Linked DNA regions of Oryzias latipes. The protein of the gene in region 1 interacts with the protein of each later gene in a biochemical or structural test. Links are inferred from orthologs where the notes say so. Each region holds a gene or a part of one and is shown on either strand. Other genes may lie near its edges.

Region 1 (3,823 bases):
ACCTCGAAGTTGGTCTTGTTACCTCGAAGGCAAAGTTCCTGTTGAGTCATGGCGGCTTTCCGCTCACAGGTGACGACAACTTCGGCAGGAAGGTGATCGTTTTCAGCGCCTGCAGGATGCCGCCGCAGCACGAGCTGGACCACCACAAGCTGCTGATGTGAGTACGTAGCGGTACAGGAATCGAACCTTTTGATGTTGCGTTTGTGTGTCAGACGCCACAATGACCCGCCCAATGATGAAACCTAGAGGTCAAACTCAAAGGAACCCTTGTTTAAAATATTAACTAGCAGCACATCTGAAGACTTTCTCCTTTTGAGTGAAAACGTTAGTTCGCTTTAGCCCGTTCCTGTAATACTAATGTAGATTTTCAAAATAAAAGACAAAAACGTCAAACGTTTCTACGTTCAGCTTATGTTTAGTTTACATCCAAAGTTGTGGGAAAACATTTTTCTAAATGAAAAAACAAATCTGGTTTTTGAAGGAATTCAGAAAAATCTATCGATATTTAAAAAAAGAAATCTGAATTGGTTCAGGAATTTGGGAGTAACGCCCCATCCTACAAACTTTTTTTCTTTTCCTCATGTAGTTTTGTTGCTCATTGCAATTGATCTTACTTTTACTTTGAAAGTCCCTCCAAAGAGAAGCCACTTTCAAAAGGTGAAAAAGACAAGAACTAGGAAGTGCCGACCTCCATTGTGAGAGCGTTTAGTTCCTCACAGCTTCGCCTGTCAGTGACGGTGTGTTTTCGTGCCGCAGGTACCTGAAAGCTACGCTGGACCAGTACGTGGAAAGCGACTACACTCTCATCTACTTCCACCACGGGCTGACCAGTCTGAACAAACCGTCCTTGGGCTGGCTCCGAGACGCCTACAAGGAGTTTGACAGGAAGTAGGTTCAAAGGCGCTCACGAAGCGAACCGGGGAACGACCGATGGGCTTTTTTTAGGGTCAATACTAACAGCCAATAACATCATTTTCCCTCGCAGTAGAAACTAAAATAATGGCGTCTAAACGCCAAACAACACAGACCTCATCGCTTGTAAAGGTGAATAAACTGGAAATAGCTAGTGGTCATCCCACTATGACCACATTTAGAGCTATTTTCAAAGCATTCCCAGTGATTAGGCCGTTTTTTTTTTTTTTTGAAGAAACAGACACGGGTCAATACAGAGGAAAATGCCTGGAACTGACGTCTATAGAGAGTTTGGAAGTGTTTAAAACCCCTTAAACTCAACCTCCAATGCTACCGATAAATAACAGAAAATGGTTGGCCAACAGCTGAGCCACCTTTTTCTCGTTTTGTAACGCAAAACCGGCTTTAGATTTGTGTTTGTTTGTTTTTTAACTTATATTTTATTCAAACCTTTTGCAACAGAGCATTATACACACACACACACACACACACACACACACACACTTGTCTCCATGGTTTCCACGATAAACAACCTAAATACAGTGAGAGCAATCAAACAAGGTACACACAGGAAGTTGAATTGCCATAATACCTGAAATCTAAACATGCCAGCATTTGACTAGCTAGAGGTATTATTAGGAGGTTTTTACCAGTGTCATGTTTAGTTTCAGACAGCTTTGGTACTTTTTATGGTTTAATTTCAAAACCCTTACAGTTTAAAAGATTTTTTATTGGTCAACTGTAAATCAAGTCTTTAGTGCATGCTAGTGTTCGGGCGTGTTCAGTGGGATCAGCTGAGCCGAACACGCCACTGACTCGCCTCAAAGAGGCGTGACGACGTCTGAAAGAATGCTAAGATTGTCTCTCAACCATGCAGTTGACAAAAGATGGCTGACAGTGATGCACAGCTAAAAGTGGAGATACACAAAGTTTTACCGAACCCTACGGCAAACCAATAGGGTTAAAATATTGATGGAATTGTATCCATCTAAGACTTTTGAGCAACTGTGACAATTGTAACTGTTGATGACTTTTTGGCCCTGTTGGCTTTCCATAAGGCCCCTTGCAGTATAGCGGGTTGCATATATGTGCTGGAACCACTGACTGTAGAAACGATGAACAGCTCAACCCCTCCCTTCTCGTTTACCTAAATGGGAAGCACCAGTGCTTCCTGATACGGGCGCCGCCATGTTGAAACCAGTTGAAAGTGATTGGTCAGAGTCGCTGAGTCATCGTATCTATGGGCAATGGCGACGTGGTTTCAACATAGCGGCGCCCATATGAGGAGGCATTGGTGAAGGATTTGGCCTGATTTCGCTAGAGCTGCAGGTGAGGCATTTTCTAAGTGTGACATCAAACCTACAGTTTAAGGCTGGAACCTCAGAGAGGTTCTGTAGGTACAAGACAACGCCTAATCAGTGAGAGCCTGTTGCCACTGACAGAATGTGTTCTTCCAGGTGCATTATAAGGTTTTGTTTCTATTGTGTTGAAGCTCTTGGATCAGGAACTAAACAAAGCTCAGCTGCACCTTTTCAGGATCCGTTTGGTCTGAACTCTAAAGGTTCTCCAGACCAACCCGCTGGTTGTTTTGGTTCCTGCAGACGAGTTTATTCGTCAACGTCAATGCAGTGAAGCTTCTGCGTGTTTCTCCACAGACTCCCGTGTACTCAGAACCTTCTCATGTCTGCAGGTACAAGAAGAACATCAAAGCGCTGTACATCGTCCATCCAACCCTGTTCATCAAGACTCTGCTGGTTCTCTTCAAGCCCATCATCAGGTTCCTTCCTCTTCTTGTTCCGTAAACAGAGACGCTGAGCTCTCTTGAATGTCTGGAGTCATAAAAGAGGTTCTTGATGCTTTAAAAAAAAATCCGGTTGTTCACCTGTGAAATGTTCTGATAAGGTCGGGTCAGGTGAACTCTGATAGGATCAAAGAATTAAAGAGCTTTTGAAATGAAGGAAGGCGTCGCCGTCAGGGATGCTCTGCTCCACCAATGATGGTTGAACGGTGGTTCCTTCTGTGGAGAACCTCGGGTGGAACCAGATCTGAGTGTTGGTTCTGGTTCTGTGGCGTAAACGAAGCCGCAGCAGGTGTTTGGTGAGGAGCATCAGCATTGACATCCTGATGGAAGTGACTTTTTAGGAGTGATTTGTGTGTTTGCGGCGCCCCCTGCTGGTCAAAACATTCACTCCTTGGAGGAGTTTCTTCTTTTTATAGACTCTAGTTCAGGAATTTTTATTAAAAATGAAGGTTATTACCTCTGAAAACACTAAACTACTGATGCTTTTGAAGGAAGCGTTTTGATTTGACTTTATAATTATATTATATTAATTATAACTAGTATTTATTTTCATGTTAACATTGAAAACGACTTGAGTTTTGCTGCCAAATTACCCAAAGTCATTCAGATTTCCTTCACATGTCCTTATAGTTTTGGAACAACTACTCATTTATTCTTTAAAAAGGTCAAACTTTCAAAATAAAGTTTGCAAATTTGACAGTAAAAACCAGAAAATAGGCCCTAAGTGAATTTAAATGTACTGTTTTATAACTTTCTCAATGCTCATAAATACATTTTTTTTGGGGGGGGGGCAGGAAATAAAGGGAGATTTGGGAACTTTATTTTGAAAGGGTTATTTTTGTTTTTCTCTTCCTGTTTTTAGCCTGAAGTTCGGCAGGAAGATCAACTACGTGAGTTACCTGAGCGAGCTGGAGGACGTGGTGAAGTGCGAGCAGCTGCTGATCCCCCAGCGAGTCCAAGAGTAAGCCCCGCCTCCAAACTAGACCCCGCTGTTGTCATGGCGACTCGCTTCCAAACCCCGCTTTGATGTTGTCTGACCTATCCAGGTACGACGACAAGCTGAGGGCCTCTGCCAAGCCGAGCTCACCGCCCCCCATGTCCCCTCCCCGT
Region 2 (4,262 bases), on another chromosome or scaffold:
TTCCATGCTTTCTCCAGTTCTTCTCTGAGTCCCTGGTATTTCTCCAGTTTCTCATGTTCGTTCTTCCTGATGTTCCCATCGCTTGGCACTGCCACATCCACCACAACGGCTTTCCTCTGTTCTTTATCCACCACAATCTGTTAGTTAGTTTGCCATTACCATCCTGGATCTGGAAGTACCACAGGATCTTGGCTGTTCTTTTGTCTGATTTTGGTTTCCCAAATTCTAACTGTCAGTCATGAAGAAAACTCCAGTGCTGAATTTATATATACCGCAAATTTATCGTTATCGCGAAATCAAGCTGTGCAATATGCATACCGCAAAAGACGGCAAAAATTGCTATAAATGATTACCTTAAATGTGTTAAAACAAACTCATGGCAGCTTGAAATATTGAACAAATGAAATAAATCCCTTTATGCATTTAACCAATCAGAAGGACCCGTTTATATTGTTGATCAATCAGATGAGCCCTTTTATGTTTGATGTTTGCCTCCTACGTCGACAAGGGTCATTTGGAGTATAATTTTTAAACTGTTGCAGTGAAATGGAAATTATGTTTTTGGTTTTTTTGCTATTTGTTTATATACCGCAAATTATATCGTTATCGCAATATTAATTACCAATATCGCATATCGCGAGTTTTCCTCATATCATGCAGCCCTACCAAGGATCCAAAAAAAGTATTGTGAAATAGCCAGAAGTTAAAAAAAAGGTAACAAAAAACAAACACAAAACAAAGATTAAATGTCTGAAGTGATCTAAACTAATCAACATTTCATAAACAAAAGCATAAACAAAAATGTCATAAATGGAAATGTATTATATAAAATTAGGAATATATCCCTTCAAATAACAAAGCAGATGCATTCCTAAAAAACAAACTGACAGAGGGTCACCAGAAGACAACAACCAAATCTTTATTTTATTGTATTTTGGGTTGGTTGTTTTAATTTTTTGGGTAATATTTATTCATGCAAAAAGTTTTCAAAATTAGGTTTGTAGTTTGATCATCTACTTTTATGAATATGAACTCTTCCACACACACACTATTTGTGCCCTGGGACCGTCCTTTTCTTCACATCCGCCCCTGGTGTCTGCCAGTTATGGCTAGTTAAATGAACTGACGCAGGTTGTATACACTATTGCAGTAAACCGTGCGAATGTGTCGTATTTAGTTACTGAGTTGATTTATTGCATTGTATTTTTTTTTTTTTTTTTTTTGTCGTATCTGTAGCACTGTGATAACACGCTGCCTAAGGTTATGTAGCTTAGTTAGTGTAGCTGAAAAGCTATCTGACATTAGTTCCGTCCGCAGCAGAGAGTTGCATTGTGACTTGGAGGAAGGAAGGAAACGGAGAAAAGTTGGTTCGCTGCGTACAACTCACTGCCTTTCGTGAAGAAGGTAGCACAGTTTTGGACTCTCATATTCACACCGTGACGCATTTAGGAACGGTGACTAAAGCTTGGTACCCTCTGTGATATTTCACAATGTTGAGTTTGTTAGATATGTCGTCGCTTATTATAGCTAGGTGTTAGCAACAGGACTTTTTCGGTTAGCTGCGCCGTAGACGAGAGCTCAGCTAGCCAAAAAGCTACAAACTTGGGAGGAAGTCGCGTAAATTCTGGTCTAGCTTGTTAATGATTGAGGAACCGGGCTGATTGGGGGTTTCAAACACTCAGTCAACCTGACCAAGTACTAGTTTGGCCAGATATTTACCTCATGGCATCGGAAGTGATAGAAGGTGAAGCGGTGTTGACGGGTTTGACTGATATTAATTTGAACAATAGCAGCCCAGATGTAGTCACACCCAGCAGAAGTTCCGAAAACATGGACAATAGGGAGACGTCTAGCCCGTCATCTTCCGGAGTGTCGGGAGATGACGAGGATTTAAACGAGTTACAGACAAGTGCAGCCTCTGTTGTTGAAAATGACAAAGAGTCGGGAGAAAGTCCAACCAAAACAAAAGAAGTGTCGCAGAAACGGACGGGTAATGTGCAGATACAGCCGGCAGGAAGGATGGTCTCTACCCCAGTAACCCTTCACCAGTCACCGTTAACTCCTGAACCCACTGGAAGGTCTGTATTTTTCCTGTTTGGGGTATGTAGTTGCCAACTTTGGGTCGAGTTTACACTATTTCTGAACTTACTAACTGACTTGCTTTTTGTGTGTCAGCTGCTGATAATATTCAACTAACTTTTTTTGTTTTTACCTAAGTTCATCATCAGTTACTTCAAGTCAAAAAAGAGAAACGCATTAAGATTCCTCACAAAAACACACAGTATACTCTACAACTGAAGGCAATAACCAGAATACAGAACAAACCTTTATGACTTCTTTGCTTTTCAAACTTAGTTGCTCCAATGCTGTGGCTTTGACAGTCATTAGGGATGCAACGCTTCATTTAAACAATGATTTGATTCATAGCATAATTTGTCGTTACTGATATGATTAATAGTTTATATTGGTTCATTTTGAAGAGACGATTCACTGACCTAATATCAATCCTTGACATCTTCATCTTCAGCCAAAATTTCCTCCAGTGTGACTCAGAGATGAATAGCTGGCTACTGAACAGTGCACATGCAGTTTTCCAGATTCCTTGTATTTCTTGCAAGATAATCAAGTGTAAATGCAATATGTGTACAAACAAACAAGTAAACTAGAATTAATGGCAAATCTATTCACATTTTAGTTTCCATAAGTGCCGCCCACCGTTTTTTTTTTCACATCAAAATAATCCAAAAGGGGAAAATTATTAGAGCATTCTACCACACTGTATGGCTTTACACGACTTTGTAAACGGAAAGTTTTTCCACACATTTGCAGCAAAGAAATGATGGCTTGATCATTTTTTGCCGCCATCACGTTTGTTGTACGCTGTGATGGACTTGGTCGCGTTTTTACTTTGTAGTTAAATAAACCTACCGTGTCTCAATCCAAAGGGTATTTTACTATATTAATAATCGATTTATTTCATTTTGAAACAATTATGGTATAGGTGATTTGCCTCAAATAGATCGATCTGCTTGGATATTACAATTCATTGATTAAGTCAATTATTGTTACACCTCTAACTATCATAGCTTCCCATAATTGAAATAAGATTTTTACAAAAACAAAAAGCTTTAGCAGAGACAAGAGCTTTAATTATTTGCTAAAAGGCTCCAACTTAATTTCTAGTTTTGTCCCTGGATGTAGAATTTTAGTGCAGAAAACAAAACAATTGTACCTTTTGCAGTGAAGCACCACTAAAATAACCATTTTAATTATAACATCAGAAATTAACGAGTAACATTTTAAAGATAAAGTAACTGTGAAGTAGATTGTTTTTTCACACTTATTTATCTTTGCTTTAATGGAATACTCTGAAAAATTCATGTCTTCAAAAGAATATTTAAAAGCATTTATCTATGTACTTTACTTGAGTCAGCTAAATCTGTATGTTAGCACTGCATGATCCATGTTTTCATTTTCTAAACATTTATTTTTTTCACGTTAGTATTTGTAATGATCCTAATGTGTTCCCACTCATTTTTGTGATTTGTGTGATTAAATTATGTTTGTTCATATGTATTTTTTCTATTGAAATGTGCTGCCTGTTGGCCAGGACTCCCTTGGAAAAGAGGTTTTTAATCTCTATGGAAATTTCCTGGTTAAATAAAAGTTAAATTAAAAATATTAAAAGGCCTGTGCCATTTGCATTAGTAAATTAAAAATAAGTTTGTTGCACACATGCAGAGATGAGCTATTCTGAGAGATCAGTGTGTCACCCAGTCACAGATACAATAGGCAGCTTTAGTTGTGGTTCATAAACTAATCTCTTAACTAAAGCTCACAGGTTTTCATGAATAAATAGAGCTGATTTTAAAGTAAACTACAAGCTTGAGCATCCGAGCTGATTTTGGAGACTGTAAATTTTATTGTGTTTAAAAAAAGTAATTGACAGAGTTTCTAAGTCTGACAAAATGTCATTAAACATTTTATCTTTGACTAATTTATTGTTATGGTCAGAAAACAAATGCTGCTGACAGAAAAAAAGAAAGCTTTCATTCATTTTTAACTTCTATTTTTCAATCTATTTATGATCTTTCATTCTGAGGAGTAGAATCAAGAGTTTAATGTATGTGATTTAGGGAGAATATTTACCTCATATTCTCTTAAATTGTTTAATTTAAAGTTAAAATAGTCAGAATTGCCTCTGATTGACATGATTTAAACATATGTCATTCGAGGGCTAGGTTGATGAAATCGATGAATCA

The links.
Region 2: the proteins of arhgap1 (region 1) and bnip2 form a complex in vitro, tested with the Homo sapiens proteins (2 studies listed by BioGRID). The link is inferred for Oryzias latipes from reciprocal best matches to the Homo sapiens genes ARHGAP1 and BNIP2.

The regions. Positions count from the first base shown.
Region 1 is NC_019860.2:878,260-882,082, forward strand, and holds part of arhgap1 (rho GTPase-activating protein 1), read left to right. Parts: intron 1-69; coding exon 70-157; intron 158-756; coding exon 757-888; intron 889-2,602; coding exon 2,603-2,689; intron 2,690-3,575; coding exon 3,576-3,674; intron 3,675-3,759; coding exon 3,760-3,823. UniProt on the Homo sapiens protein: GTPase activator for the Rho, Rac and Cdc42 proteins, converting them to the putatively inactive GDP-bound state. Cdc42 seems to be the preferred substrate.
Region 2 is NC_019864.2:17,098,650-17,102,911, reverse strand, and holds the start of bnip2 (BCL2/adenovirus E1B 19 kDa protein-interacting protein 2), read left to right. Parts: upstream 1-1,194; 5' UTR 1,195-1,722; coding exon 1,723-2,078; intron 2,079-4,262.